3 linked regions of the Macaca mulatta genome follow. The protein of the gene in region 2 interacts with the protein of the main gene of each other region in a biochemical or structural test. Links are inferred from orthologs where the notes say so. Each region holds a gene or a part of one and is shown on either strand. Other genes may lie near its edges.

Region 1 (10,698 bases), on a different chromosome or scaffold from region 2:
CACTGAGCTCTGAAAGCTGAGGGAGGATGAAAGCAGCAATGTTGACCCTGAACAAAGGAGGAACAAAGGGACCCTGATGGATTCCATCAGCCTGGGATAAGTGCATTAGATACAGTGTTACCATACACCAGGCACTGCTGGGAAGATACCCCACTATATCATATTTATTCTCATGTAACATAGAAGCTACCCAGAGTCACCAATGCTGAACATACTTTCCACAAATGCTTCAATTTAATAGAGGAATCAGTTGTGCCAAGAAATAAATGCTGTGGCTAGCCACTCCACCCTCCTCACCATCCCACCTCCCCAAGAAATGCCAGTCTCTGGGGGAAAAAAAAATAGTAAGTTACTAGAATCTCAGACTCGGAAAACAAATGTGATCATTACCCAGCCCAACCCACTATCCTATGCATTCCTTCCTTCCACAGTAACACTAACAAATTCTTATCACCTTATTGGATACTCTCTCATATAGCGCTCAAAGCAACTCATGTGAGGTTGCGCAGTTCTGATGATCTGCCTTACCATGAATATAAATCTGTTCTTCTTTTGCATCCTACTGTCCCTGGGGAGACAAGAGGCCCATGTGAAGGCCTTGGACATAGATAAAGTCCCCATTACCCAGATGTCTCACCAAATCCCAGGTATTTGACTGCTCTTTGATGAGCCACCATATAGATTCCAAGATCACAAGGAGATGCTTCAACAAGCTCCTTACCAGAAGCAGGGAAGCCATCGGCTCTTTTAACTGATCACTCAGCTATTGAGGAAGTGGTAGAAATTTCTAAATTGTTGTCAAGACAACCAAAGTCCAAATATAAATCTCTTTGGGATTCCATCAGGAAGCAGTTTTTAAGTGCACGCGCACAAATACCCCAAGGAAATAACAAAACAAAGGTCCCCTCCTTCTCTTTCTCCTCCTCCCCACTCTCTGCCTTCCTCCTGCTTCTTGCCACGTGGTGATGTGTGTTAAAAATGCATACTGGGAAACTTTCCACCTTTGGGGTTGAAGCAGCTGCTGCCTCAGTGTTGTTTTTGTTAGGTTTTTTTTGTTGTTGTTGTTAACATACTTTGCTGTTTTAAAGGGTGTTGCCTTTAAGCTTCATGTTTCATAACACCGGTTCAGATCACAAAGTGGGATGAATGACACTTTCCTGGTAAGAAGGAAGCTTATAGGGTCCTGCCCAGGGTGCTTCCCCCATCAAGCACACCCTCCTGCAAGGCTGACTTCCACAGGTGACTGGGCTCAGGCCAGGAAAGGGCATTCACAAAGGCTTGCTGGGCTGTCCCCATGTGGAATGAACCCGAGAAAGTCCACACATGAGATGCGAGCCAAGAATTTATAAGAGGTAACCTAAACAAACCCAGTGCTCTCCAGTCCTTGGTCTTCCAAGAACACAAAGCATTCAGAGAATGTTCCACAGGCCATTGTCCATCCCATGTGGGAGCATTCACCAAAAGAAATAAGCTCGAACATTCCTAGCATGCCAGGAAAACAGATGAAGTTCAGGTGAAGAAGACCTGGCACCGGCCCACTTTCACTCCCACCTGCTGCAAATGACTCTAATGTCAGGAGGTAAGACCTCCGACCCCATGGATGGAGCAGGAAACTACAGCAAACAGTGACCAGTAGGGAGCCTCTGCTGAAAGTTCCCACTGCCCATGCCTAAAACAACCTATACCTTATATGGGAAGCATGTCCCCACGTCCTCACTGAGCACAGGACCAGGCACAAAAAGACCAACCCCTCAGCCTTCCCAGTGACAGTGAGATTTTGTTACGAAGTCTATGTTCTCTGTCACCTTCTAAGGGAAACCCAACAGACAGTGATTCTAACAGGGAGAAAGAAGGTGTGGCTGTCGGGGTCTTGGTCATACCAAGACTTCAGGGAGGTGTCTCATGGCTAAAAAACAGGAAGCTGAGTGCCGGCAACACATAAAACTTCACCCAGAAAAGACAGACCTCCCTATGCAAAGAACAAACGAGCCCAATTCCTGTTAAAATGTTGAAAGAGCCTGCGCAACACAGGGAGACCCCATCTCTACAAAAATAATAAAAAGTATTAGCTGGGTGGGTGGTGCACACCTATGGTCCCAGCTACTTGGGAGGCTGAGGTGGGAGGATCACCTGAGCTTGGGAGGTTGAGGCTGCAGTGAGCCATGATGGCACCATTGCACTCCGGCCTGGGCAACAGAGTGAGACTCTATCTCAAAAATATACATATTTTTTTAAGGACTTTTGGACTTAGCACTAACTGATCCACAGGGTCTCTGGAATCAAGAGAATAAACCTAAGCCGATGCAGAAGGATCCACTGAGCCCAGGAGTTGGAGGGTGCAGTGAGCTATGATGGCACCACTGTACTCCAGCCTGAGTGACAGAACGTGACCTTGTCTCAAAACAAATAAAAAAAGAGAGAGAGAGAGAAGAGAGTAAACCGAAGACAGTTAAATGGCTTTGATCTACCTCAAATGTTATCCCACCCAGAGAACCAGCCTAATTGGATGAGCAGCTAGAAACACAGCCTGCTGCACACATCTCACCGGGGAAAGAGCCAGCCAAACCAGGGGATGTGGCAAATCTTACTCAGTGTGGACAATAAGATCATTTGGCTTTTCAAATAAAATGTTCTCTGATTTCAATAAAACTGAAACTTACAGCCACCCTCAAAAAAAAAGGAAGCCACAGATGTGGTGTGATATGATTGATGTTTCTTTTTTTTTTTTTTTTTTTTTCAGATAGGGTCTCACTCTGTCGCCCAGACTGGAGTGCAGTGGCACGATTTCAGCTCACTGCAACCTCCACCTCCAGGCTCAAGCGATTCTCCTAGCTCAGCCTCCCAAGTAGCTGGGATTACAAGCACAAACCACTACCACTCGGTTATTTTTTGTATTTTTAGTAGAGACAGGTTTCATCATGTTGGCCAGGCTGGTCTTGAACTCCTGACCTCAAATGATCCCCCCACCTCAGCCTCCCAAAGTGCTGGGATTACAGGTGTGAGCCACTGCGACCAGCCACGATTGATGTTTCAAAGCCTCCGTCTGCCCAGAAACCTATTCTTTCTCTGCTTTGGCATGGTTCTTCCAACTCCAAGTTCAATTTCCTACACACACAACTGGCAAAGGTAAGGCACTGTCTGCAGGAAGCCACTCAAAGAGTGTGTATCATTCTTGGAGATAAAAGAAGTAAAGAGATTTCCTCCACCTTCCTCCTCTCCCAGGTTTGCTAATTGCCACCCTGAAATGGTAGCATGTATCTTAGGAGATCATCTGGTATAGTCCTCTGCCTTAAGGGGGAACATGTTATTATGCCCATTTCATAGATGAGGCCGCTGAGTTGCTTTGCTAAAGCGACACAGCTCGTTGGTGGGAAAGAATGAGAGCCTGGGTTTCCTGCCTCCTGACACAGGGTTCTTGCCACCTGATCAGTGTCCTGGTAGGAGGATATAGAGACCTGTCCCTAAATGCCGAAATTGAAAATAAGGGGTCCTGTGATAGGGCAGGGCTTGGACCACCTCAGTAAAAGTGAAGAGAAAGAGTTTAAGAAAAAAAAGGCAAAAACATGTCTTATTTCATTTTTCCCAAAGCCAATCCTGACAAACACAGCGCACATCAAGGCTGCCCCTTCATTCCTTGGAACACGACATTCCTTCTAAGTCTCTGAAGGCCTTTCCTGAGGCTGAAATGGCCCCTCAAGAGGGACGCACGGGATTCCTGGAATTCACGTCTGGAAATATTAGAGGGCCTGGGGAACAGGAAAACCCACTCCAGACACACAAAAAGGTCAACAGGGAAAGGACCAGGCTAGATCCTGGATGTGGCTGACCAAGTCGGGGGAGGTGGGGATCTGTGCCAGGGCCTACCAGGGAGGGCAGGGCCTTCCCAGATCCTCTGGAATTCTAGGCCAACCAGACAATCGAGTTAAGGTAAGGGATGGTTTTGGCAGAGGCCAGTGATGGGAGCCGGTGGACAGAACAAGGTTCTGCCAGAGGTTCCAGAAGAGCCTAGAGGAAGCCTAGAGACGCTGGCACAGTTCAGTCCTCACCGAAATCATTTCCTCTTTCTACAGTTCTTGTATCCCCATCTTGACAGACCAGTTCGCACAAGAATGCGACTCTTTCGCTGCTCTTTTTTAGGAAATGGTTTTCATGAGACCAGCTTTGCCAGTGACATGGGCGGGTACACCAGATGCCAAAGGCTGCTGAAAACGCCCTTAGAACCAGCTCTTCTTTTAGAAGAAGGAATTCTGGAATGCGATGTGGGCCCCCGAAAGGAAGCGACCCTACGTTTATCTGAATTCTCAGGGGCGGTTCGCCAGCGGCTCCCTGCGTCCTGGCCGGGTCTCCGGTCTGCAGTCCCCTGACCGCAAGGATTGACTGCCTCTTTGTTTCTGGCGGCTTTAAGGCTTCTTCGGGCTGAGAAAGCCCCACTTTAGGAGAAGTGGTGGTGGGGAGGACTTTCCCAGCCTGCTGCTTTCATCCGCAGCAGGGAAGTTTGCAGGGCGCGCTCCGCACAGGTCACCGCCTCACCTTCCACCCCGGCCGCGCCCTCGGCTTTCACCCCCTTGGCTGGGCTCGCGTTTGGTTTTATTTTTGTGTTTTAAGTGAACAATCAATTGCCCCAGGAGGCAAAAGAGTCCTCAGCGACTTGGCTGAGCAACTTAAACTTTCTGCCGGAAGGAAACTATCAAAGGCGGAGGAGAAAGCCCTCGGGGCCCCAGACTCGCAGCCACTGCCCCGTCCCCGCCGGGGGTCCCCGCGAGGCCGCCGCGGATCCGGGGACTCGCGGGCCGGGAGGAAAGAGCAGAAAAAGCCCGGGGCAGGCTCGGCCCCGGACCCCGGCAGGGTGAGACGGGGGCGGACCGGAGGGGCGCACGGACGAGGGGGCGGCGGGGAACAAGAGGGGGTGCGGAGAGCGAGGGGCGCACGGACTGGGGGAGCGAGGGGGACCCGGGGAACCAGCGGGCGCGCGGACGAGGGGGACGGAAGCTGCGAGAGGAGAGCGGAGAGCGAGGGGATGGCGGGGTCTGAGCGCGCGGGGACCAGGGGAGCGAAGGGGCGCGGGGGCGCCGGCCGGGGTCCGCGGCGGGGGGCGGCCAGGACTCACCCCGAGAAGGCACACTTTGAGCTCCCGTATAGCCATCATGTGCTCGCGGCCGGGCAGGGCCGGGGCTCAGCAGCATCCTCCGGGGCCGCCGCGCCCGCGCCCTGCCGGCTTCTCCCGCCTCGGCTCCTCGCTCGCGCCGCCCGCGGGCGGAACCGCCGCCGCTGCTATTTCTGGGCCGCCGGCCCCGCCGCGCTGGGTCACGTGGCCGCCGGCCGGCTCCTCCCGGGCGCGTCGGGTCCAGCCTCGCCGGCCCCCAGCTCCCAGGAACGCCCCCGGACGGCGTCAGCCACCCGGGACCTGCGGCGTCGCCGGCGGGTTGCCTCCGCCCTCGGACCAGCCCCGCGCGAGCCGGGCTCCCCCGGCGCCCTCCCGCATCCGCCGCTCCCGGCCCCGCCTGGCCGCAGGGCCCGGGTAGGAAGGACGGGACCGGCCCGGTGGAGACCTGGCCCCACTGCCAGAGGGTCCCTGGAGATGCCATTCTGAGCTGAGAAGCGGCTGCTCTGGCCGAGGCCGTTTGCGTGGCAGCGCTTGCAGGTCTGCGGGTTAGTCCCATCCTCAAGCGACATTCTGGGTCCCGGGCAGAAAAAGTCAGGCCACTGAAGGGGCCGCTGTGAGGACAGGGGTGAGGAGAAGGGGGTTGACTTTTCGGCCTGCCTTCGCGGCGTTCCTAATACCCGAGCTGCCGTTTAACATACGCGTGGCTCTTCAGCTCAGCCAAGTTCATTTTTCTGTATGTAGCTGAAAATGATTCTAGAAGCAAAACTGGCTGTCCGTGTCTGAAACAGGAAACTTGCATTCTGGAGCAAAGCTCTTTCTCAGTAGAGCAAATCCTGCAACTGGTGTGGGCAGAAACCCAGTCCTCAGAAGTACAGGTAGAAACGTGGAGATCCCAGCAGACCCCCGCATCCTTCCTAACTAGGAAATGAGCAGAGGCTGTGGCCGCACGCAGTCACGGGAGGCCTGGGTAATTGTGTTCTCTTTCTTCTCCATGTATGGCCTAGAGCACCTCATCCACTCAGATGACTTCATTCGTGGCTGCTACAGAAATGTCAGCCTTTTCAGTGTAATCTATCTGGACAATTCACTGGCATTTCAGATGGGAAGTGTTTTTTTAAAAAACTGATATTTTTAAAACTTCATCTCCTATCCCAAACTCTCAGGCCTCTCTCCAAACCTTTCAATTTTAATCAATGGCATTTCCATTCTCCTAGCAGACCACCCACCGTGATCATCTGGCTTTGTTCTTACAGAAGCCAGGTTGAAGCTACCCCATACCCAAGTAACCCCATCCAATGGGAAATTCCAAATCAAGGCCTCCAAAGAGGTAAGTCCTGGAATACTGGAGTCAAAATGGGCCCCAAAACAGACAATTCACAATTAAATTCCCCAGAAGAGCAGGAACTTTGCCCTGGAAGTGCAGGCTTGTGGAGGTTCCTCAAATGGACTAAATTGTTCAAAAGGCAGCCATGCACAAGTTACAGGTCCATTGTGTCAGTATCTGTCCTTGACTTTGTATCCAAAGCAGAGTCTTCTGTGTGGGCAGGGTGAAAAGAGGCTTGCCCAGAATCAAACAGTCCTGATCACAGTATCTCCCTGCCCTCAGATTTGCTAATCAGAAAACCACCGCTACGCAGTTGCAAAGACACCTCCCCCAAGGCCTTCGCCTGCCCTCAGGACACCCACTAAGACTTGGATGTCCACACTGAAACGTGTCCTTTTGGCTTTCCAGCGCGATTCCCAAAAGCCAGTCAAACCACAGTGGAAGCCTCCGCCGTGTTCTACATCCTGTGCACTGAGTGGAGTTTTGTGAAATTGCCTTAGGTTGCTAAGGGCAAAACTGTGCCCAGACAAAAATAAGCAAACCGAATTTCTCTTGTGTTCCCTTACCCTTTTTCATGACTGCTCTCATTCCGCTCTCCTGTCCGCTAGCCCGGGTGCCTGGGACGCTTGTGTGGTTTCTAGGCTCTCCCAAAATAGTCCCCTATCCAGCCCTTCCCTCCCTGAGAATTGCCCCAGTCCATTTGTCCTTCTCCCCACCCCTAGCTCTATTAAAAATGACCTCATTTGTGTCTCATTCTGATCAGGCCTTGGGCTCTTCTTTACAAAGTGGCAATCCTAGTCTGTCAACTGGCCTGTGTTCGTGGGTTTATACCCTCTCCCCAGCCAGGTCACCCCTGAACTTAAACATGGCCTCATGAAAACCAGGTCCCCATGATCACTCTAAGGTAACCTATAAAGCTCTAGCCCAGGAAGGCAGGAAGATGACTGCTAGGAGACATATTTCAGGAGTGACAGGTCAGAGGTAGCCCTCGACTTTTTAAAAAAGTGCCATGTTCTCTATTGTTACACTCTATGATTACTGCACTGAGGGCCCATCCTGACTCCTCTGGAATTCCCTGCAAATATGGAGTTCGGGTATAGCTTCAGCAGGGATAAAAATTCGATGGTACATAACTGACAATTTATCAAATTAAGAAATAGAACATGCAAGTTTTTCTTATGAGAATTTTGTAGCGTAAATGGTCATGTGCTAATTCAGACCTCCCCTTCTCTGCTGCTATGAAGTCTCCAACAGCAAAAGCCAGGAATGGTCATAAAACTGACCATGTTTTTTGATTCAGGAAATCTTTTGTTGAACATTAACATACAAAGACGAAGAGTAAACAAAGCTGCCGGTTTGAGTATAAACACATATGCAGACAAAGAAACAAATAAATGGGTTAGAGAACAACAAAAAAATTATCTCCATGGAGGTAAAGGGAGGATTGTTGCATTAATTGTAACTCAAATCTCTTAACATTTGAGGAATGATTAAGCAAACTAGGGTGTCTTTACTGGGTGTATTTAATGGTGTACAATAGTATATGTTACTTAGATATTAAATGAAATGTGTATACTATGTAGATTTATGAGACGTTTATAGTAAATAAGGTTCTGTGAAAATGATATGACTCAAAATGTTAAATAGGATAAGTAATATAAATGTGTTACAACGCCCTGGAGCACAGGCTGATCCCTGGAGACCAGTACTGAGTCATCTGGTCTGCTCAAGAGTCAATTAAGGAAAAATAAAAGTGTTTACAACCCTTGTTTTTCATAATTTATCTTTTTTATGGAACTATAGTGTCTGCAATATCAGTTAAACAGCCTTTCAGTATTTCTCATTTACGTAACAACTCCTTCCTTCCTTCTTCCTTCCTTCTTTCCTTCTCTTTCTGAAACTTTCTAAATAGCATGTGCTACGTAATCTTATTTATAACTCGCGCCCTTGAAACAATTTTGAGGAGATGAATCCTGGACATACCAGGGTAGGAAAGGGATTTGAGGGACTTAGAAAAACAGAGGTGAGTGGACCCCACAGTTCACCCACAGACTTGAAAAAGGAGACAGGGCCGGGCGCGGTGGCTCAAGCCTGTAATCCCAGCACTTTGGGAGGCCGAGACGGGCGGATCACGAGGTCAGGAGATCGAGACCATCCTGGCTAACACGGTGAAACCCCGTCTCTACTAAAAATACAAAAAACTAGCCGGGCGAGGTGGCGGGCGCCTGCAGTCCCAGCTACTCCGTAGGCTGAGGCAGGAGAATGGCGTGAACCCGGGAGGCGGAGCTTGCAGTGAGCTGAGATCCGGCCACTGCACTCCAGCCCGGGCTACAGAGCAAGACTCCGTCTCAAAAAAAAAAAAAAAGAAAAAGAAAAAGGAGACAGTAGCTGGTGGGTGAAGGCTGGAAACAGCCTCTGTCTGTGGGAAGGGGAGTGTTCCTGAGAACCCCAAGGAACGTGGCTGCTCGGTGGAGGGGCTATTAGGTAAGCGGATAGAAACTGCACATCCTCCTTTTGCAACTCCAGATGTCTTCTTCCTGTGGAAAGTGTGGTGACATCTTAGATGGGAGACGGGGAGGGTGGGGGCTCACCTCCTCATCGTCTCCATCGTCTCGAATGGGAGCGCTCAGAAGTGTTCCAGAACAAGTAGACAGCTCTCGCTGAAGACAAGGAACGCTCTGTTGGGACCTCACAAAGGATTGGTGTCAGGTGATAGTGTTTAAATTTTTCAGATTCCTGAGTGCTAGCACTGGGCAGCTTAAGCCATCTTCAGCATCTCACTGGCCTCTTTACTGACACTCCTGCCCAGCAACCTCCACCGTCCCTTGGATCTCTGGCTGAGCTTAAAGTGTTGGGTTAAAAGAAAATAAGCAATAAGATATATATTAACACCTCCCATGGAAGGTAAATGGATTGATTCAGCTGTGACCACCTCCCAAAAGCCCTAAGTAACATGTAATTCAATCAGTCCTGTTCATTTTCATTGCTTACTTGTAAAACTGAGAAATTAAATTAATGATGCAGATCAAAGTCACCACAACCCCAGTTTTGTTTCATAGACTGTCTTGGGTTGTTCCTTCTGGCGAGTCATGTAAGTTTTCTTGCAATTTTTCAGAGAAATACTATGGAGTTTAGGATTTCTTTTTCTTAAAAGGAGTTGTGTTTCACTTTTTTGTACCATAACATTATTTGCTATCAACTAAAAATTGGTTTAATTGTAGATGTTGGCAACGATTCTTATATTGCAGGGATTTCTGTGTTTAGCTGTTTACCCACCCATTCGGCGAGTAGCAGACCCTGACTGTGCTAGACACTGGAAGAATGGCCGATGGAGGAAGAGGACCCACGCCAAAGTCGAGCAGTAAAGGAAAGAGACAAACATATAAACGGGAGACTATTGTATGATGTGAAATGTCTGAGGCTTGGTGTAGTTGCTTCATTTTGGTAACTCTTCTCATTCAAGAAATGAGTATAAATTCCAGAGACTCCAAACCTTGAATTCAACTGAAACCAACCCCCAAGTAAAGGAGAAGATGCTCAGGATGGCTGGAGTTTGAACCTAGTCAACTGGTAGGTGAGTGTGTGTGTTTGTGATGGGGGGAAAATCTGGGTTTTGTTTGAATTCCCAAGACTGCCCTAGATGAGGAAGAAACTAATACAGACTCTCCCTAATCTGAAGTGCCTCTAAGAATATTTGTGTACAAGTTGAGTATCCGTCATCCAAAATGCTTGGGACCAGGAGTGTTTCTCCGATTTTGGAATATTCGCATTATACTTACAAGTGGGGCACTTCTAATCCGAAAATCCTGAATCCCAAATGCTCCAGTGAGCATTTCTTTTGAGCATTGTGTCAGTAGTCAAAAAGTTTCTAATTTTGGAGCATTTTGGATTTCAAATTAGGGATGCTTAACCTGTACTAAGAGTACCGAACTACTGTACTGAGTTGCCTTAAGGCTCCAATTACATTAGACCTCTTGCAAATTTTATTTCTACTGAGGTTATTATTGTTTAAAAAAAAAAAATTTCAACAACATTAAAGATTTAATTGGCTTTTGTTACTGATTCATGAATCAGGCAGCGTCCCATCCAAAAACTGAGAAAATATGTTCCAATAAGCCAGGCAAAGGACTGGGCTTTGTAGGCAGGAAAGGCTGAAGAAGCAGAAACAGGGAACAAAAGGCAGATTGGCGTTTTAGAGTTACTTCTCTTGCAGGGTTAAAGCATGGGGGACTTCCTCATCAAACCTGCTCAGGTAAATTGGTCCTTTTGA
Region 2 (9,972 bases):
TTATAGCACTTATCACCATTTAACATGCTATATATTTTGCCTATTTACCTTGGTTATCGTTGCCTCTCTCACTAAGCTCCATGAGAGCAGACATTTTTGTCTGTTTTGTTCACTGCTAAGTTCACAAAATCAGTTCCTTGGCTGAGAGTAGAGGTTAATAAATGTTTTTTGACTAACTAAATAAAAGAACAAATAAATGAATCCAGTATTTTGATCTCTATTCATCTGACTCCCAGGCCACTCTCCAAGCTCAGAAGAAAAGGGCATATTATTTATTGCCTCCCTCAAACTACAATATTGTTTCTACATACATGTCATTAGATTGCCATCTCCTAGAGGGCAAGCACTCTGTCTATTCACAGTGCTGAGCACAGTGAAACGCCGGGCACGGTGGATCACGTCTGTAATCCCAGCACTTTGGGAGGCAGAGGCGGGCGGATCACGAGGTCAGGAGATCGAGACCATCCTGGTGAAACCCCGTCTCCACTAAAAACACAAAAAATTAGCAGGGTGCAGTGGCGGGCGCCTGCAGTCCCAGCTACTCGGGAGGCTGAGGCAGGAGAACGGTGTGAACCTGGGTGGCGGAGCTTGCAGTGAGCAGAGATAGCGCCACTGCACTCCAGCTCCAGCCTGGGCGAAACAGTGAGACTTGGCCTCAAAAAAAAAAAAAAAATAATAATAATAATTAAAACATATCAAAGTCAAATTAATTTCAATATTTGGACAATCTCCCCTTACCATAACAAAATGAAAACTTCTTTCAGTATTCTAAGCTACGCTGCAGACTTTGTATAAATTTAACCCAAACAATTATATTTTCTACACCTACAATTCCAATGTTCAGATGATGGTTATAAAGCAGGAAAAGAAATGACCAACAAATACTAAATTCTACTGAAGGAAATACAAAATATTCTTCCTTACTGGGCTAACGATGCCAGAAAATTTTATTCGAACATTTTTGATTTTCCAAATATTGTATTTTAATCAATAAGAAACAATAATGAATAAATTATTTATAAGTAATTTAAATAAATTTATTTAACTAAACACATTTAATAGATAAATCTAATAAATTTAATTAAATTAATATATAAAATGTAATAAATACATAATAAATCTGTTTATAATTAATATTTTACACTAAGTTGGAAAAACGTTTCAACATAGTAATCAAAAGAAAAAGAATTTTCTGATTATCCAGACTTCAAAATTATCAAAATCCCTCACAATCAAGTATTTTGTATTTTCTAGTTTTACCACAACAAAAGGATAATGATTTGGATTAATTAATTTTATTTTTTCTCTTATATTCTATGTAATGGTAATTAATTTTTGTTTACAAGGCTAATAACGCAACTAATGTTTACCTGAGCTTCTCGAAGTTTTGCCGTGGTGCTTTGCTGAAGAGCCTGTTGTTCTTGATGCTGTTGCTTTGTTTTATCTAATTGATGCTGCAATTCTGTAGAATTTGTAACTTTTTCCTTCAACTTAAAAAAACGCAGATTGTCAATTGAGAACTTAAAGGCATAATGCTATCATTCATAAGTATCTGGCATTACTTCAATTCTGAAGTCTGAACAGAACAATAAATTCAGGTAATATATAAGATAAACTTTAACAGTGGCACCTTGGCTGGGCACAGTGGCTTACACCTGTAATCCCAACACTTTGGGAGGACAAGGCGGGTAGATTACAAGGTCAGGAGTTCAAAACCAGCCTGGCCAATATGGTGAAACCCCATCTCTACTAAAAAAAGAAAAAAAAACTACAAAAATTAGCCAGGTGTGGTGGCAGGCACCTGTAGTCCCAGCTACTCGGGAGGCTGAGGCAGGAGAATCACTTGAACCCGAGAGGCAGAGGTCACAGTGAGCCGAGATTGCACCACTGCACTCCAGCCTGGACGACAAAAAAAAAAAAAAAAAAGCAGTACCTCATTACTTATAGAATCTTAATCTCATGTTAAAGAAACTATTTTCTATAAATAGGCTTATCCTAAAAGAACTTTCTCCAGGCTGGCATTTAGTTTATTAATTTTTTTGTAAACTAGTATGATCAAGGAATTACATATAAATTTGTAACAATAATTTAAACCACATATCAGTATTTCTTTTATTTTTTTTCTTAATAGTTGTAATTATCACTTATTGGAAAAGAATACGATCATTTACCACATCTAAGATTTTAGGTCTAGAAGAAAATCTATTGCTGAAGCTGCAGATTTTATTGTAGAATATGTGTTTAATTCCGGCCAGGCATGGTGGCTCACACCCGTAATCTCAGCACCTTGGGAGGCTGAGGCAGGCAAATCACTTGAGGTCAGGAGTTCAAGACCAGCCTGGTCAACATGGTAAAACTCCATCTCTACCAAAAAATACAAATATTAGCCAGGCGTAGTGGCGCACATCTGTAGTCCCTACTGGGGAGACTGAGGCGGGATAATTGCTTGAACCCAAGAGGCGGATGTTGCAGTGAGCCGAGATTGTGCCACTACACTCCAGCCAGGGTGACAGAGTGAGACCCTGTCTCAAAAACAAATAAAATTAAATTAAAAATTAAAAACTTAAAACTAAAAAATAATGTGTTTAATTGCAATAAAGATGTAATTTAGTAACTTTTACTTTATATTACAGGCATCATTTATAGCAACTGCAAGTCTAATGAGGGACAGCATTCAAATACATGCTTAATTTTTAAAAGCAAAAATCCTTAAGTGGAAACTCAAAGTTTATATATACCAACTACATGTCATTAATGAATTTACCAACAATTCATAGTTTACTGTTTCATTAGGAAGTAGTCCTTCCTGAGTAGGAAGACTCTAGCAGCCTGATGGGTTCGCCCCCAGTATTTTTCCTGCCTAAAGCTGAAAGAGTAAGTTTTCTTTGTGCATTTTTGTTGAGAACTTTAGGAAATACAATTACAACAAAATGACTTAATGTAGTTAATAAGCAGGATGTTGCTACTGGAGAGTAATAAATTTGCACTTTACTTAAAGTCCAATTAAAGCTCTGACAATTAACAGATTGATGAATCATAATCATGTTAAAGATACCTCAAGCCTATCAATAAATGCTAGCTTACCTGCTCTTCTAACCGAGAAAGTTTGAGTTGTAAATCAGCCACTTGTTGTTCTTTATCCATCAACTTTTCACTTGAAAGCTGTCTTTGTTCCTTTAGCCTACCATGAGCTTCCCCTAGTTGGCGCTCTGTCTCCAGAAGTTTGCTATGTAACTTTAAAAAAAGAAAAAAAATGTATGTACATATGTATAAACACACACACACGACCACCTACTTTCCAAACAATGTTTTACCTTTCACCAAAATAAGTACAATATCTTAATTTTCATGATACTTTGGGGAAACCTAAGATTTTATATAGTAATTTTAACTGCAACTGAATTTTAATCATATATTATAATGAATCACATACAATTATGGTTAAACATCACAATTTTTGTTTTTGTGTTATGTTACTGCTCTCTTAAAACAAATGCAGGCTCTTGTTCGGAGATAAGTGTTGGAATTTTCAGAAACTTAAAAGAATAAAATACAACTTAAAAATTAAGACACTTAGTACACACTCAGATCTATTCTACAGTATTGTTTAAAATTCCACAGTGATTCTTGTTGGTTTTCCATAGCCAAGAACTACTAGAGTTAACGTTTTATATTTGGGTATTGGATACTGCCCAGTGCATTCCCAAGTCCTCATATTGGCACATAATTTCTAAATAAAATAGAGGAAATGATCATATATATATATAGTGACCTTCATTCATTAACTTTACAAATGCCACCCAATTAAAACTAAGGCAGTTAAGAACCATCATGAGTAGTCCACCCCAGTTATACATACTCTATCCTAACAGGAAATCAGTGTCCCTTCCTGCCTCTTACAACACTTTCCTGCCACTAGTTTGCTCTCACTAATCCCTCTGGCTGGAAGACACATCTGCTTTCAAACTGCCACCTGTCAAAACCTATCTGATATTCCCAATTCCAAGTACCACCTCTCCCTAATACAAAGATTTCCTGATCACATAATTGGATAAAAAATTACAACAGCTGAAGTACTACAGGGGGGAACAGAAGAAAGAAACTCTTCCAATTTCCCATAATATATGGAATCCTTTTATTATAATTCTCATAATCTTTAGTATGATCTATAGTACTTGCCTTATCCTCCCCTAAGATTTACATAATTATTAAAAGTAGGTACTGTTTCTTATTCATTTCTGTATCCCCTAGTAAATGAGGCATGTGTCTTTTAGAAAGCATAAATGCTGCCAGGCACAGTGGCTTATGCCTGTAATCCCAGCTACTCAGGAGGCTGAGGCAGGAGAATGGCTTGAATCCGGGAAGCGGAGGTTGCAGTGAGCTGAAATCTTGCCACTGCACTCCAGCAGAGACAAAGCGAGATTCCATCTCAAAAAAGAAAAAGAAAAAGGAAAAAAGAAAGCAAAAATGCTAAATTTGTTTATCTGAACTAAAACTCAAATATGTAAGTTAGTTTAAGTTATTCATTGATATCGCCATGGCTCAGTTTCCTTCCATTATGAATGCTTACATTTATTCATTCATTCACTCACTAAAACATAAGCAGATTAACAATCAAAATGCTGAGTGGACACGGTGGCACACAATTGTAATCCTAGCACTTTGGGAGGCTGAGGAAGGTGGATTGCCTGAGCTCAGGAGTTCGAGACCAGCCTGGGCAATGTGGTGAAACCCCGTATCTACTAAAACACAAAAAATCAGTTGGGTGTGGTAGCATATGCCTGAAGTCCCAGCTACTCAGGAGGCTGAGGCATGAGAACTGCTTGGACCCGGAAGATGGAGGCTGTAATGAGCCGAGATCATGCCACTGCACTCCAGCTTGGGTGACAAAGTGAAACTCTGTCTTCAAAAAAAAACAAACAAAACAACAACAACAAAAAAAAACCAAGTAAAATGCCAGGTAGTAAAAATAAAAAATGAATAAGACATGGTCTTTGCACCCAAAGAGTTCAGAGTCTAGTAAAGAAAGACATAAATTATGATAAACTATATTATGGTATAAGTAAAATATTAAAGATATGTACATGCTTAAGCTATCTTGAGTGTGGGGAAGCAGTGGCATGTTTAGAAAGGATTTCTAGGGAGAGTGCTGGGAGGGGGGCGAGTGAGGGTTGAAAAATTACCTGTTGGGTACAATGGTTACTATATGGGCAATGGGTACACTAACAGTCCAGACTTCACCATTACATAATATATACATGCAAGAAATCTGCACTTGTACCCTCTAAATGTATTTCTTAAATTTTTTCAAATCTTTAACTTCTATTTTAGGTTCAGGGGTACATGTGCAGGTTTGTTATATAGGTAAATTACATGTCACAGAGGTTTGGTGTACAGGTTATTTCATTACCTAGGTAATAAACACAGTACCCAATAGGTAGTTTTTCGGTCCTCACCCTCCTCCCACCTTCCACCCTCAAGCAGGCCTGGCCATCTGTTGTTCCCTTCTTTGTGTCCATATGTACTTAATATTTAGCTTCCACTTTTAAGAGAGAACATGTGGTATTTGATTTTCTGTTCCTATATTAGTTCACTTAGGACAATGGCCTCCAACTCCATCCATGTTGCTATAAAGAACATGATCTTGTTCTTTAAAAAAAAATTATAAAAAGTGACAAGTGAAGTAAATAGTATCTATCAAGGTGAAGAAGAATGAAAAGAATATTTCAGGTCAAGAAGGCAGACTGAATGATACAACAAAAGCAAGACACAGCACAACATATAGGAAAAAACTAAAGACACTTCCGTATTCTTGCAGTGAAGAATAAGGAAAAGAAGGGTAAATTGCTGAGGAGGAAGGCCAACAAGACCAGTATGGATACTGCATGTTACAACAAGAGACCTCAACTTAATCCATTAGGTCATAAAGAGTTATTAATGGGCTTAAAGCATGGTTGGAACATGGTAAGATTTGCCTTTAATATAGATTACTCTGATGCCTATATAAAGGATCAGTTTGTCAGGGGCAAGTAGGAAGGCAGATTAGTTTGCAGTTGTTAGAGTGGTTTAAGAGTGAAACAAGGAGGACAGGGCTAGCAGAAACAGGGAAGGAGAACACATGTTACAGAAATATTTTTAACTCTTCTGATTCACTGTATCATGGAACTCACAGTCCAAACTCAAAAATTAGTATTAGCATATGTGAAGTGCTTACTCTAATTTCTGAAATATAACTGAAGCTCATTAAATTACTAACATAATCATTATTATTATTATTACTAAAGGATAGAAAGCCATGAAAATTATTAATTATAGTAAAATAAAGTATCACTGCCATTTTAGAAAAACAGCTGAACATTATCAAAAAAGTAGCTGAAGACTTGAATATCCCCCAATTTCCATTTTCAACCAATTTTCAATGTTACCTAACGCAATAATTAGAACACAGGCAAAAAATTAAGTTAATGGCAAAGTCAAAACTTGTATTAAACTTCATCTGATAGCCACTATATTATTAACCTATACAAAATACTTTGTGCCTTTAAGCTAGACTAACCTATACAAAATACTTTTGTATAGGTAAATAATATAGTTCAAAATATAAGCCATATAGGTAAATAATATATGAATTATATATATCAATATATGACATGAATATCATATGATATATTGTATATATATACACTATATAAATATATATTTATATTCATAAATATATAATATATATTATATTCATAAATATACAATATATATTATATATTCTATATATATGTAATTCATGTATTATTTACCTATAGAAAATAGCTGCAGCATTAGGGCTGATTTACTTTCTATGAAATATCTAATTTTTATTTATTTTCAAAAAAAATTTTCCCTAAAACACATGATTTTAAAAAAATAATCTGTATGCTGCTTGTTTTATAATAATGATGCTTTTAAAATTTTGTAACAAAAAAATTTCAAATGAAAGAATGGTCAACAATTTAAATTAATTATAATAGCTAAAACCTTGTGAGTACCTACATGCCCCAGGTACCATCCTAAGCAATTTATAATATCAATTCATAAACAATTCCCCACAAAGCTGTAAAATAGATATTATAATTTTTTTTCTTAAGGGAAACGGAAATTAAAAGAAATGAGATCTGACAACACTACAGGATATAAAAGTTAAGAGTTAATCTTTTAAAATGACAATATTTTTTCAACATGAACTATATTATGATCAAATAACCATCAAGAACATGAAGAAGAAACCAGAGGGAGAATTACAATAAATAAAATTAACAGCTCTTACTTGATTAATTTCACTTTGGAGTTGTAACCCATGCTGCTCTTTTTCTTCTCTCTGTTGTTGTAGCTGCTTAAACTCCGCCTTTAGATGCTGGTACTTGGTCTCTACCTCAGATAATTCTTCTTTGAGCTTTTGAGTAGCTTCTCCTTTTTCACTTAGTTCTGCATGTATTCTATGCAGTGAGGTTTCAGATACAGACAATCTTGACTGAAGCTGCTGACAATCTAGGTCTTTTTGATGAAGGGTTGCCTGAATATTCTTTTTACTCACAGATTCTTCATTATGTTTCTCCTCTAACTTAGTATAGTCTTGTTCTTTTTTCAGCAAGTTCTCTGTCAACGTCTAAAATATCAATTTAACAATTTATTTCCTTTTCTAATATTTTAAATTACTCCAATTATTCGAACAATCTTTGGAGCAGTACTGTCTCCTAGTATACATTTTAGTCAATATTAAAATATAAAACAGTGACAATGTTCTAGTCAAGAATTAAATCATTACATACTAATTCGTGATTTCAGTATTGGTCCACTTGACTAAACTCTACTAATACAACTTAAGAATTTCCAAGCAAGTGTTGACATAAAATAAAAATAATAAAATCTACTGGATTTTTAAGGGTATGTGACATATTTATATTCTTCCATTTGAGTTAAAAATTGAAACTACCTTTCTACCAACAAATTATTTTGAGTAACAATATACTATGCAAAATTTGATTTTTCACTGTGCAGTTTCATAGTTGGTAAGAGCTTTAGCGCAGCAGTATCATCCACTGTTATAATGCACCTAACCTATTGATTGCATCGTTTTATGCTCTTCTTGTTAAAGACCAAGTTTTAGAGTCACAAGCTAAGACTAATTCAAATTTTTTTCTAGGTGTATTAAAAAATGATCTAAAGCTATCACACACCTGCCTTAAATTTTGTCATTTTACTCAATGCTATCAAGTATAAAACATAAAAATAACACTTCTAATCAAAGACCTGGAACAACCAACCTAATCTAATGTCAAAGCCTAGTCTCAGTGGGGTTGTAAAAATTAACACTAAACTTTAAAGTAAACATATTTAAGCATAAAATATGGATCAGAATTTTAACTAAATTCTGTAAGACATCCAGCCAGGATAAGAAGCTATTGTAAGTACCTGGTGAGTCAGTTAGTGGACCTTTAGTGTACAAACTAATATGCAGTGTGCTGGAAGGGGATGATACTGAAATAGGAGAGACCAATCAAAGCCTTCATACCTTAAACAGAATATACTCTAAATGAAATCACACAACAAAACAACAACAACAACAAAAAAAACCTTTCTAAGAAAGTTAAAACATAATGCACGAGTCAGAATTGACTAATAGAAAAGTATGTCAAATTTCTTAAGGCACAGTTTTTTTAAAAAATGAGCAAAGTCAAGGGGAGCTAACTAGTAAGATCATCTAAATACCATGAAGTTTGAGCCTGGTTTCAAAAGCGATGGGAAAAATCATGTAATACATACACATGATACATGCCATCTGCTCTATATAAATGTATAAGACACGAAGGAAAAGGCAAACAAGTTTCAGGTGGGGTGACAGCAAAACCCTATTATCTGACAGGGGATAATAGATAATAGATCTTTATTGTTGCATTCCCCAACATGGGAAACGCAGGAATAAAGGTTCTCGAACATTTGTCTAAGAAAAAATAAGCTAATGTTAATTATCAAACAGGAATATACTACGGAAAAGCAGTGTCCGGAAAGATGATAAAAGTATATATAACAGAGGCCAGGTGCAGCAGCTCACAGCTGTAATCCCAGCACTCTGTAAGGCTGAGACAGAAAGATTACTTGAGGTCAAGAGTTAAAGATCAGCCTGGGCAATACAGCAAGACCCTATCTCTAACAAAAGAAAAAAAAATTAGCCAGGCATGGCGGTATGACCTAACTACTTGAGAGGCTAAAGCAGGAGGTATGCTTGGGCCCAAGAGTTAAAGGCTGCAGTGAGCTAAGATCACGCCACTGCACTCCAGCCTGGGCAACAAGAGCAAGACCCTGTCACAAAAACAAGAAAAAAAAAGAATATGTATAAGAGAGGATGACAGACAGACTTAAAAGTAAGAAGAGCAAACACTAAGTTTACAGCAAAATTAGCTAAAAGATGTGTGCCTTGACCAAGCAACAAAAACAGAAAAAAAGACACAAAGCCAAGAAAATTACAGAAAAAAATAACACTTCTGATTCAACTATATGTTAGAAAAATTGTCTTTTTATAAAAATTTCTTTGTAATTCCAAATTTTTCTTGACATAATTCTACCTTTATTTAGGAAAACAACATTTGTTTTAGAGTTTGTAAGCAAATTAAGTCTATTTATTAATCTATAAATAATCTTTTTTAAAGAGAATTCTAAGTTACTGAATTTCATAAATGCAACCATGTTCATACACACTGAGAACTTGGGTGGAACATACCTTTTAAAATATGCTACAAAAATTAAGGCTCATAATGAGTTAGAGTCTTCTTCCTCACAGACTTACTTAGAAAGTAACCAACTAATCCCACCATTTCTATACACCCTTGAGATAGTTTCACTTTTTTTTCTTTTTTTTTTTTTTTTTGAGACCGAGTCTAGCTCTAGCACCCAGGTTGGAGTGCAGTGGCACCATCTCGGTTCACTGCAAGCTCCATCTCCCGG
Region 3 (10,708 bases), on a different chromosome or scaffold from region 2:
ACAGCATTCTCTTCTGTAAAATTGGAATACAACTCACATCAATTCTGTTCAATGTCTACGAAATGAGACAATTTGTGAAACCATCAAGCAACGTACAAGGCATCCCAGCAAACATTTTGTTTTCGTTTTAGAGATGGGGTCTCATTATGCTGCCCAGGCTGGTCTTTTTCCTTTCTTTCTTTCTTTTTTTTTTGAGGTAGAGTCTTGGTCTGTTGCCTAGGCTGGAGTGCAGTGCTGCAGTCTCAGCTCACTGCAACATCCGCTTCCCATGTTCAAGTGCCTCCCAGGTTCCTGCCTCAGCCTCCTGAGTAGCTGGGATTACAGGCATGTGCCACCACGCCTGACTAATTTTGGTATTTTTAGTAGAAATGGGGTTTCACCATGTTGGCCAGGTTGGTCTCGAACTCCTGACTTCAGGTGATTTGCCTGCCTCAGTCTTCCAAAGTGCTAGGATTATAGGCGTGATCCACCACCCCTGGCCTCCAGGCTGGTCTTGAACTCCTGGGATCAAGTGATCCTCCCGAACTGCTGGGATTACAGGCATGAGTTGCTGTGTCCTGCCTCAGCATACATTTGGTACACATGTTGAATCAGAATCAGTGTTGAGGGCTAGGCACAATTACCTGAGGTCAGGAATTCAAGACCAGCCTGGCCAACATGGAGAAACCCTGTCTCTACTAAAAATACCAAAATTAGCCTGGCATGGTGGCACACGCCTGTAATCCCAGCTACTCAGGAGGCTGAGGCAGGAGAATAGCTGGAGCCCAGGAGGTAGAGGTTGCAGTGAGCCAAGATTGCACCATTGCACTCCAGCCTGGGAGACAAGAGTGAAACTCCGTCTCAAAAAAAAAAAAAAAAAAAATTGGCCAGGCACGGTGGCTCATGCTTCTAATCCCAGCACTTTGGGAGGCCAATGAGGCAGGCAGATCACCTCACCTGAGGTCAGGAGTTTGAGACCAGCCTAGTCGACGTGGTCAAACCCCGTCTCTACAAAAATACAAAAAAAAATCAGCCAGGCATGATGGCGGGTGCCTATAATCCCAGCTACTCAGGAGGCTGAGGCAGGAGAATCACTCGAACCTAGGAGGCAGAGGTTGCAGTGAGCCTGGGCGACAGAATGAGACTGTCTCAAAAAAAAAAAAAAAAAAAAAAAAGAACCTTCAAACCCTTACCTACCAATCAGAGGCAACTGCTGTTTTGTGGGGATCTAGTCTGTGCCAGCACTCGACTAGCTCCTTTCTTTGTTTCTAATTCTGCAAGGTATTTAGCGTTGCCATTTTACCAGAAGAAACATAGGCTCAGTGAGGTCAAGTAACAAGCCCAAGGTCACACAACTGGTAAGTGGGGAAATCAGGATTAGAACTCAGGTCCAATTGCCTCTGAAGTTCTGGTGCCTTCCACCTGACCACACGGCCTGTTTACTGGGCAAGGGCTAGAAGCAGAAGGTCTGGCTGGGTGCAGTGGCTCACACCTGTAATCCCAGCACTTTGGGAGGCCGAGGCGGGCGGATCACAAGGTCAGGAGATCGAGACCATCCTGGCTAACATGGTGAAACTCCATCTCTACTAAAAATACAAAAAAATTAGCCGAGAATGGTGGCGGACACCTGTAGTCCCAGCTACTGGGGAGGCTGAGGCAGGAGAACGGCATGAACCTGGGAGGCGGAGCTTGCAGTGAGCCAAGATTGCGCCACTGCACTCCAGCCTGGCGACAGAGCGAGATTCCGCCTCAAAAAAAAAAAAAAAAGTAGAAGGTCTGAGAAGTACTTGCTTGGTGGGGCTGAATTTAAATGTGTGATCTTGCTCTGTTTCCATGTAAATTCTAGTGACAGGAGCTCCTGGTGGCAAGCTGCATTCTTCCCACTTGTAAGCAGCAGGCAGCAGCACAGGGGAAACAGAGGACTAACCAGAGGCCCGCTCTGCTGCTTCCCCCTTAACCCTGCCCAGTGGGACCCCTGAGTTCACTCGCTTTGACTTTCATTTTCTAGCCATTAAGACTTTCAGGTTCCCCAAAAAATTAATGACACGTAGATGTCAGCAAACTCTCAGGCCCTGAAGAGTACTGACTTGGGACTTCTAACTGTCTTGGTCCTCACAGGCAGAGGAGAAGGGGGTCAAGAGAGAAGACAGGAGGTTGGGTAGAGGTTGGTGAAGAAAACGAAAACAGAGGAGCGCCAGTGATGAGGAGGGCTAAAGGGTTAAGAGTCTGCCCTTGTGCCACGGCGCGCTCACCCTGCATGTTCATTCATTTAACAAACAAACCAGGCGGAAGAAGGGCCCACTGTTAGAAGATCAGGCCACATCTGACCCCAAATCCAAGCCCTAGCTCTACCACTTTCTAAATGTATGATCTCAGGCAAACTACTTAAGTTCCTTCTGCATCCCCTCTAAAGCAGGGACACATATTTGCCTTATCTTACTCAAAAAAAAAAAAAGTAATAATAAAAATTAAAAACAAAGTGGGGAAACAAATCCCAGTATTTCCCAGGGCACCTATGAGGAATATGTATGAAAATAACTTTGCAACTTTAAAATGATTTTTAAAAACTTAGTGTTACGGCCCCTCTACAGTTTAACAGTCCACTAATTGTGAGAGGCAAGAGGGCAGGAGAGGAACAGCATCAGAAAGGAAGGGTTTCTGGCGCACATGGAGCCATCGCTCTTTCTGCTAGGCAGAGTGAGACCTCTCCTTGGACTCTATAATTTCTGGATGCCAGAAGTGGCTGCATAACTACCCAAAGCACTGAGGCCTTCCTCGTCTCTCTAAATGGCAGAGCTTCCCCTTCAAAAGTCATTTCAGGTCGGGTGTGGTGGCTCACACCTGTAATCCTAGCACTTTGGGAGGCTGAGGTGGGTGGATCACCTGAGGTCAGGAGTTCCAGACCAGCCTGACCAACATGGTGAAACTCTGCTGCTACTAAAAATACAAAAATTAGCTGGGCATGGTGGCACATGCCTATAATCCCAGCTACTTAGGAGGCTGAGGCAGGAGAATCCCTTGATCTCAGGAGGCGGAGGCTGCAGTGAGCCAAGACTGCGCCACTGCACTCCAGCCTGGGCGACAAACAAAGCTCTGTCTAAAAAAAAAAAAAAAATTCATTTCAGAGTCAGAGCTGGGAGACCATGTCCAGATAAAGGAAAGAAGATCTCCTCAGAAGCCTGGTCGGCCTCATCCCAGCACTCATGAAGAGTGACAAACTACGTTCTACTCCTGAAGACCTAAGTCTGGTCAGAGACCAATGGCCAGTGAGCAGTCAGGCCTCTCTGGCCCTGCCGCTCAGATACCCAGGCTGACCAGATCAGAGAAACTAGATTGGCTGAAGAAGTCTCCAATGAGCCCCAAAGGAACCCACACAGATACAGAGCTTGTGATCCAGCTGTTGACCCTAATAACGAAGGCTTCTTCTGTTGTCCAATAAAAAGTGAAGTAAGTAGGCCGCACACAGTGACTCACACCTGTAATCCCAGCACTTTGGGGGGCTGAGGCGGGTGGATCACCTGAAGTCAGGAGTTCAAGACCAGCCTGGCCAACATGGTGACACGCCTTCTCTACTAAAAATACAAAAATTAGTAGGGCGTGGTGGTGGATGCCTGTTAATCCCAGACACTTGGGAGGCTGAGGCAGGAGAATCACTTGAACCCAGGAGGCAGAGGTTGCAGTGAGCCGGGATCACGCCACTGCACTCCTCTAGCCTGGAGGATAGAGCAAGACTCCATCTCGAAAATAAACAAACAGGCCGGGCGCGGTGGCTCACGCCTGTAATCCCAGCACTTTGGGAGGCCGAGACAGGCGGATCACGAGGTCAGGAGATCGAGACCATCCTGGCTAACACGGTGAAACCCCGTCTCTACTAAAAAATACAAAAAACTAGCCGGGCGAGGTGGCGGGCGCCTGTAGTCCCAGCTACTCGGGAGGCTGAGGCAGGAGAATGGCGTGAACCCGGGAGGCGGAGCTTGCAGTGAGCTGAGATCCGGCCACCGCACTCCAGCCTGGGTGACAGAGCGAGACTCCGTCTCAAAAAAAAAAAAAAAAAAAAAAAAAAAGAAAATAAACAAACAAAAAAGTGAAATAAGTACATCCTAGGTCTACTCAAAAGAATGTAGGAATCAGACACTAGCCGCTGTCCAGAAGCACTCAAACACACCTCAAGGTCAAAAGACAGCACTTTTAAGTGGCACGCAAGGGTGGTAAAGGTAGCCCAGAACACTGAAGTGCTACAGAAGTTCCCACAAACTGCATGGTTTTCTGTCCCTTCCTTCACTGTAGATAGCAAGGATCGGTCATGGCCTCAGAGCCAGGCTACTCCTCATTAAGGCACAGTCTCCGGCCTGTACTTTGGCCACATAACAAAGCTTGGTCTGAGACAGCAGCTATTTCACACACCAAAGCCCCAAGCAACAGACAAGGATCATAGTCAATATGCTTGAGGGAACCTGCACTTTCTGGCATGTATGGGAATTCCTTGGGCTACAGTTAAAAATCCTGAACTGCCATTGTGATCTTGACTTAGTCCTCAGTAATAAGTCCAAGCCCAGAAGGGACTGGAGACAGACCCTGGCGTGCCATGGACCTGTTGCTCAGCGTGGGGTGTGTGTGTGTGTTTGGGAGTGAGAAAGAGATAGCCCTTCAATTCCAGACTCCTCATTTTGGGTCTCATTCTCCTCCCTATAGACACACGGACAGCAGTCCCAAAAGCAGCAGTCCCTTTGAGGCGGCTTGGAAACCACTCACGTGCTGTGGGAGGACAGAGCTGAGCCTGGAGCAAGGGGGGAGGGGAAAGAAGATAATGAATGGGCACATCCACCCTGATCTGTGATTTATAGCTGGAATTGAGCAAACCTCAGCTAAATTCTTCAGAGTCAGGAAGAGAGAGACACTCAGAGAACAACATAACTAGAGAACAGGGGCTGGGAGACAGAAGGGGCAAAGCAAGAAAACAGCTCATTGCCAGTAAGTGACCCAAACTTTAAACTCTGCTGAGGTCCTGGATGGTTCTCTGGCTTGAGGAAAGAGAGGAAGTAAGGAGTTGCGGGAGCGCCAACACACTTCTGTGCGTGTGGAACGGTCTCACCCAGACGACCCCCTCCCCCAAAGGAAATCGAGATATTCCTCTAGGGCTGGAGGGGACAACTGGTTTTGTGGGACAGCAGGAAGGAAAACGGCGACAGACAGCACTCTCCGTCACTTCTAAAAGAGAAGAGGGACAGGTTCCTTCACACCTGGCAAAGATCCTCCGATTCTGGGAGCAGGGGGAGCGGAACTTAGGCACCTCTCTCCCACAACTGGAATGGACAGGCCAGAGGACAGTCATAGCGATTTCCTTAAGGCTCACGAAAGGTAGGTAAGCTAAGGAAAGAAGCTCCCCATCTCCTGCGGCCCGACGCCTGGGGAACCCCTCAAGAGGGGGCTACGGGTCGGGGGAGGGGTCAGTATCCCCCTAAACTGGGGCTGGGCGGGAGGAAGGGCTGCCCTGGAGATGCTTCAACGCAGGCGAGACACCAGGTCCTGGGACAGGAATACTCACGGCGGCTCCGGGGCGGCGGCGTTACTTGGGGCCGGGGCTCGGACGGGCTCTGCTTCTCTCCCCCCCCGGCGGTGTCCCAGGCTCCGGCCTCCACTTCCGTCTTTCAGCCGCTCCGGATCCGGATCTCTACCTCCGCCCCGCCCCTCAATACTCCCTGGTGATTGACAGGGCGGAGAAACCAATGGGAGGCACTCTTGGCCGACCTACCCAGCGGCGCCGGTAGGAACGCGGGAGTGGCGGGAGGGCGCGCGCGAGGGATGGCGGGACTTGTAGTTCGTGGCGATGGGAGGAGTCCGTGGCTGCCTGGGACTTGGGCTTAGGCTGGAGCCGGCTGACTACAAGGCCGAGCCCGGCCGGGAACTTTTTATTTTTTTTGAGACGGAGTCTCACTCTGTCGCCCAGGCTGGATTGCAGTGGCGCGATCTCGGCTCACTGCAACCTCCGACTCCCGGGTTCAAGCAATTCTCCTGCCTCAGCCTCCCGAGTAGCTGGGATTACAGGCACGCACCACCACGCCCGGCTAATTTTTGTATTTTTAGTAGAGACGGGGTTTCACCATGTTGGCCAGGCTAGTCTCGAACTCCTGACCTCAGGTGATCCGCCCTCTTCGGCCTCTCAAAGTGCTGAGATTACAGGCCTGAGCCACTGCGCCCAGCCTATGGCCGGGAACTTTTTGAGGCCAAGCCTGCCACCCGGTCACCGCCGGTTCCGGACGCCCCGAGGGAAGGCGGGTGGTGGAGCGTTGGAAGAAGGCAGAGGACTATGTGTGCAGAATTGGGAAAGAAGAAACATGGTGCGAATGAATATGCATGCGAGGCCTCAGTCCTTCGAACTTGCCGATCTGGAGAAGCCCCTGTCTGCACTTTCCGGCCAAGTCAGCTTGGGAAGCCCGATTGCTGGGGGCGTCTGTGATGGGGAAGGCGATGAAAGCGCTGTAGGAAGGGTTCTCTACAGGATGCTGGGTGAGATCAAACGGAGAGCTTCTGCCACCACCTCCTACTTGGTGCAGGGGGCCGGCACAAAGACCATCTCTGCCTCTGCCTTCCCCTGCTCCCAGCCAGGGTCAGCTCTTCTCTCTGACACGGAATACAGAGCTGGACAATCTCTGCCTGGGCCCTCTCCATCCGCAAATAAAGACTAGAACCACCCCCACTCTGCACCCCCCCATGTGGATCAGGAATATTTGTTTCTTCTACTCGTCTCAATATGGATGGGGCCCGCTCCTGATTCCTCCCACCCTTACCTCTCAACACAGACCAGTACCTCCTCTTCTTTTGCATCTCACCCTCCAGGGACACTACTGAAAACCTGTGTGGAATCAAAGCTCACCGGGGACAGCTGTGGCCACTGTGCCTCTAACACTGGCCAACACCAGACATATCTTGGAGCCTCAGCTGGAGAATTTACCTGCCTTGGACAACCTGCCACAAAACTGTGCCCACATCTAGTTCCATCTAGTCACCAGGGCGTCTCTTTCTTACGTCCGTAACACACAAGACCCCCTTCCACGCCAGTGATCATGAGAAGTGAAAAGGAAGAGGGAAGAGAGGGCTTGTTGGGAGGACAGAGGGGATGGGGCAGAGAGGGATTCCTAGCAGGTTCTGGCTGGTGACAAGCTCTTCCCCCAGCCCCCTTGCCATACCCAGCTCTTGAACAGTTCCTTATATGGGAGGGATGGGTAGTCCCCTGGGCCCACCTTTCCAAGGCTGGAGGTGGGCCAAAGTCAGGACTCTATCCTTTCCACATACTGTGTGTGTATATGGCTGTGACTGGTGTGCAGGGGAGAGAAGCGGGTATAATAGGCCCATAGTGACTAATTAAGTTTTTCCCTCATCCCTGGGGCCCCTGGTGGTGTGAATGTGGTGCCAAGTAGATTGGCTGGTGCCTCTGCCCTTCCTAAAGATAGCAACAGGGCTCTGGGGTGCAGCGGGGGTGAGGGTGGGGAATGATTGCTGTGTTGGCTCCTCCAAAGCCCTGGGGCTCTCAGACTAACCCCCAGAAACACCCAGAGCCAACAACTACAAAAATAAAGAGTTTATTTCCTATCCAAAAGTGAGCCCAGGGTGGTGGGTGGTAGAGGAGAGCTGGAGACCTGGGTGAGTTTTGGAGCAGTCCAGGCCCTGAGTGAGACCATGTTGTAATGGGGGAGAACAGGCTTGGCAGCGGTCTGGGGTCAGGGGAAGGATAGGGAGTGCTGTTGGGATTTTTGAGTTGCTAGCAGCACAAGAGACCACCTTGAGAGACAGCCTGCGGAGAGACAGAAACACAGATGGTGACAGACCCACGCCTAGGAGTAGAAGCAGACATTACTGGGCCCAAAAAGCACCTGTTGGGCACAGGGACCTGGGAACACACTGTTAGGTAAGGCACGGGTTGCACACTCAACCCTTGGGCTCCACCCCTGACATTCCAAATTGGGTGAGGCCCAGCAATCTGCTTTTTATTTTTTTATTTTTTTGAGCCTCCGCGCCTGGCAGAATCTGCATTTTAATAGGATCTCAGGTAGTTCTGATGGACACTCAAGTTTTGGGAACTCAAATACCCACAGAGACCAGACAAAAATTTCAAACAAGGGAAGCTAGCCGGGTGTCGGGAGATGATCAAGAAACGTGTGACAGCGAAGCAGAGTGCAGAGCAGATCCCATGTAAAGAGGACAGTGGCCACCCAGCCCCAGCTGATTGCCAATTATTGCCAGATGGAATGTTGGCCCATGGTAGCCAGATGTCCTGAGGTTTTTTTGTTTGTTTGTTTGAGACAGGGTCTCACTCTGTCACCCAGGCTGGAGTGCAGTGGTGTGATCACTGCTCACTGCAGCTTCAACCTCCTGGGCTCAGGTGATCCTCCCACCTCAGCCTCCAGAGTAGCTGGGATCATAGGCACACACCACTACACCTGGCTAATCTTTTTATTTTTATAGAGATGGGCGGGGGGGGTGTCTTGCTATGTTCCCCACGCTGGTCTTGAACTCGTGGGTTCAAGTCATCCCCCCACCTCAGCTTCTGGAGTAGCTGGAACCACAGGCACTCACCACTACACCTGGCTTTTATTTATTTATTTATTTATTTTTGAGGCGGAGTTTCACTCTTGTTGCCCAGACTTGAGTGCAATGGCACGATCTCGGCTCACTGCAACCTCCGCCTCCTGGGTTCAAGGGATTCTCCTGTCTCAGCCTCCCGAGTAGCTGGGATTACAGACATGCACCACCATGCCCAGCTAATTTTTGTATTTTTAGTAGAGACGGGGTTTCTGCATGTTGGCCAGGCTGGTCTCAAACTCCCGACCTCAGGTGATCTGCCCGCCTTGGCCTCCCAAAAGTGCGGGGATTACAGGCATGAGCCACCACGCTGAGCCTACACCTGGCTAATTTTAAAAATACTTTTTTAGGCTGGGCATGGTGGCTCACACTTGTAATCCCAGCACTTTGGGAGGCTGAGGTGGGCGGATCATGAGGTCAGGAGGTCGAGACCATCCTGGTTAACACAGTGAAACCCCGTCTCTACTAAAAATACAAAAAATTAGCCGGGTGTGGTGGCGGGCGCCTGTAGTCCCAGCTACTTGGGAGGCTGAGGAAGGAGAATGGCATGAACCCGGGAGGCGGAGCTTGAAGTAAGCTGAGATTGTGCCACTGCACTCCAGCCTGGGCGACAGAGCGAGACTCCGTCTGAAAAAAAAAAAAACAAACATATATATATATATATCTCTTTATAGAGATCGGGTCTCATTATGTTGCTAAGGCAGATCTCAAACTCATGGGCTCAGGCGATCCTCCCACCTCGGCCTCCCAAAGGACAGGGATTACAGGCATGAGCCACTGTGCCCAGTGCTACTTTTTTTAAGAGAAACTGGAATATCTGTAGTCCTGTATAACCTCTTTCTTTTTTTTTTTGAGACAGAGTCTCGCTGTGTCGCCCAGGCTGGAGTGCAGTGGTACAATCTTGGCTCACTGCAACCTCCGCCTCCTGGGTTCAAGTGATTCTCCTGCCTCAGCCTCCCGAGTAGCTGGGATTACAGGCGTGCACTACCACGCCCAGCTAATTTTGTATTTTTAGTAGAGATGGGGTTTCTGCATGTTGGTCAGGCTGGTCTTGAACTCCCGACCTCAGGTGATCCGCCCACCTCAGCCACCCAAAGTGCTAGGATTATAGGCGTGAGCCACCGCACCCGGCCCTATCTCATTTTTAATATTGGAACTAGCTCATATTTTGAAAATAATGCTGTGAGAGCCAAAGAGCACATATCTGGAGCTATCCGTTTGTTTCCTGTGTGGGCTGTGGGATGAGGTGAGCCTCTCCAGCCTGGGCTCATGGTGGGCGGCCTAAGAAATTGTGGGTTGCTCAAATTCCAAGCAGCATCTCAAACCTACCCCTCTCTAGGTAACATTGCTCTTAAGGTCTTCAGCAGAGACCCAGGGGCTGAGACAGAAGACCTCACAATATCACTAAGCTATCTTCAGGCAAAATCCTGCAACCTGTCTCTTGCTATAGACGCTAAGATCCTGCCTGGTCTTGCCTTCATGTCCTAGGCTGGAGCTGGGTCCCTTGCCCATCCCCTCTGCTCCCCCATCTCTACCTGCCTCCAGGTCCTGGGGAGAAAGTAGGATCTCATCTGCCCAGCCCAATGGGCACTGCGGTTCATCTCATGCCTGCTGGGTTCCACAGCCCTCAGGTGGCTCCCCTCACAGAGGGGGAAGTTGGGGAAGGCTTGGAAAAGGGAATAGCGTCGGAGGTAACCACGCTTGGTTAAAAAGTCCAGAAATCCAGAGCCAACCAGGCCAGCTGGTGGCTGCTGACCCCAAGGCAGGAAGCCAAGGGGCCCAGGTCCTCCCTGAGTGGTGAGTGGCAATGCCCACCCCAGACAGGCCTGGGCCCTGGGCCAGGGTCAGTGGAACGTGTCTGACCTGGACTGGAAACTGTGCCTCATGAGGCTTGGGGTTGGGGGTGAGGCCTCTGGCACTGGAGAGGGTCCCAGAGGGTCAGGCTCTGAGGGGTAGGGGGGCAATATGGAAGGTCTCAAGTCCAGGGGCGCAGTCCCTGTCTCCATGGTCCCCACACTGGCTGGGCAGTGAACTTCAGCAAGCGTAGTATCCTGGAGGCTGGGTGATGGTCTGGACGCACAAGGAGAGAGGCCTGGTGGCCTCAGCTGTGGACAAGGAGGGTCTGGGGTCCAAGCGGAGCCTGCTGGGT

What was found.
Region 1: the proteins of EEA1 (region 2) and RAB31 form a complex in vitro, tested with the Homo sapiens proteins (2 studies listed by BioGRID). The link is inferred for Macaca mulatta from reciprocal best matches to the Homo sapiens genes EEA1 and RAB31.
Region 3: the proteins of EEA1 (region 2) and RAB5C form a complex in vitro, tested with the Homo sapiens proteins (2 studies listed by BioGRID and IntAct, with this or other methods). The link is inferred for Macaca mulatta from reciprocal best matches to the Homo sapiens genes EEA1 and RAB5C.

What each region holds. Positions count from the first base shown.
Region 1 is NC_133423.1:80,670,940-80,681,637, reverse strand, and holds the start of RAB31 (ras-related protein Rab-31), read right to left. Parts: upstream 5,147-10,698; coding exon 5,108-5,146; coding exon of another isoform or gene 5,018-5,107; exon of another isoform or gene 2,218-5,017; intron 1-2,217. Other genes in the region: uncharacterized protein LOC114675567, read left to right, coding at 5,018-5,590. UniProt on the Homo sapiens protein: The small GTPases Rab are key regulators of intracellular membrane trafficking, from the formation of transport vesicles to their fusion with membranes.
Region 2 is NC_133416.1:100,135,228-100,145,199, forward strand, and holds part of EEA1 (early endosome antigen 1), read right to left. Parts: intron 7,637-9,972; coding exon 7,298-7,636; intron 3,235-7,297; coding exon 3,085-3,234; intron 1,491-3,084; coding exon 1,371-1,490; intron 1-1,370. UniProt on the Homo sapiens protein: Binds phospholipid vesicles containing phosphatidylinositol 3-phosphate and participates in endosomal trafficking.
Region 3 is NC_133421.1:66,490,066-66,500,773, forward strand, and holds the start of RAB5C (ras-related protein Rab-5C), read right to left. Parts: upstream 5,642-10,708; 5' UTR 5,525-5,641; intron 1-5,524. Other genes in the region: voltage-gated delayed rectifier potassium channel KCNH4, read right to left, coding at 10,404-10,708. UniProt on the Homo sapiens protein: The small GTPases Rab are key regulators of intracellular membrane trafficking, from the formation of transport vesicles to their fusion with membranes.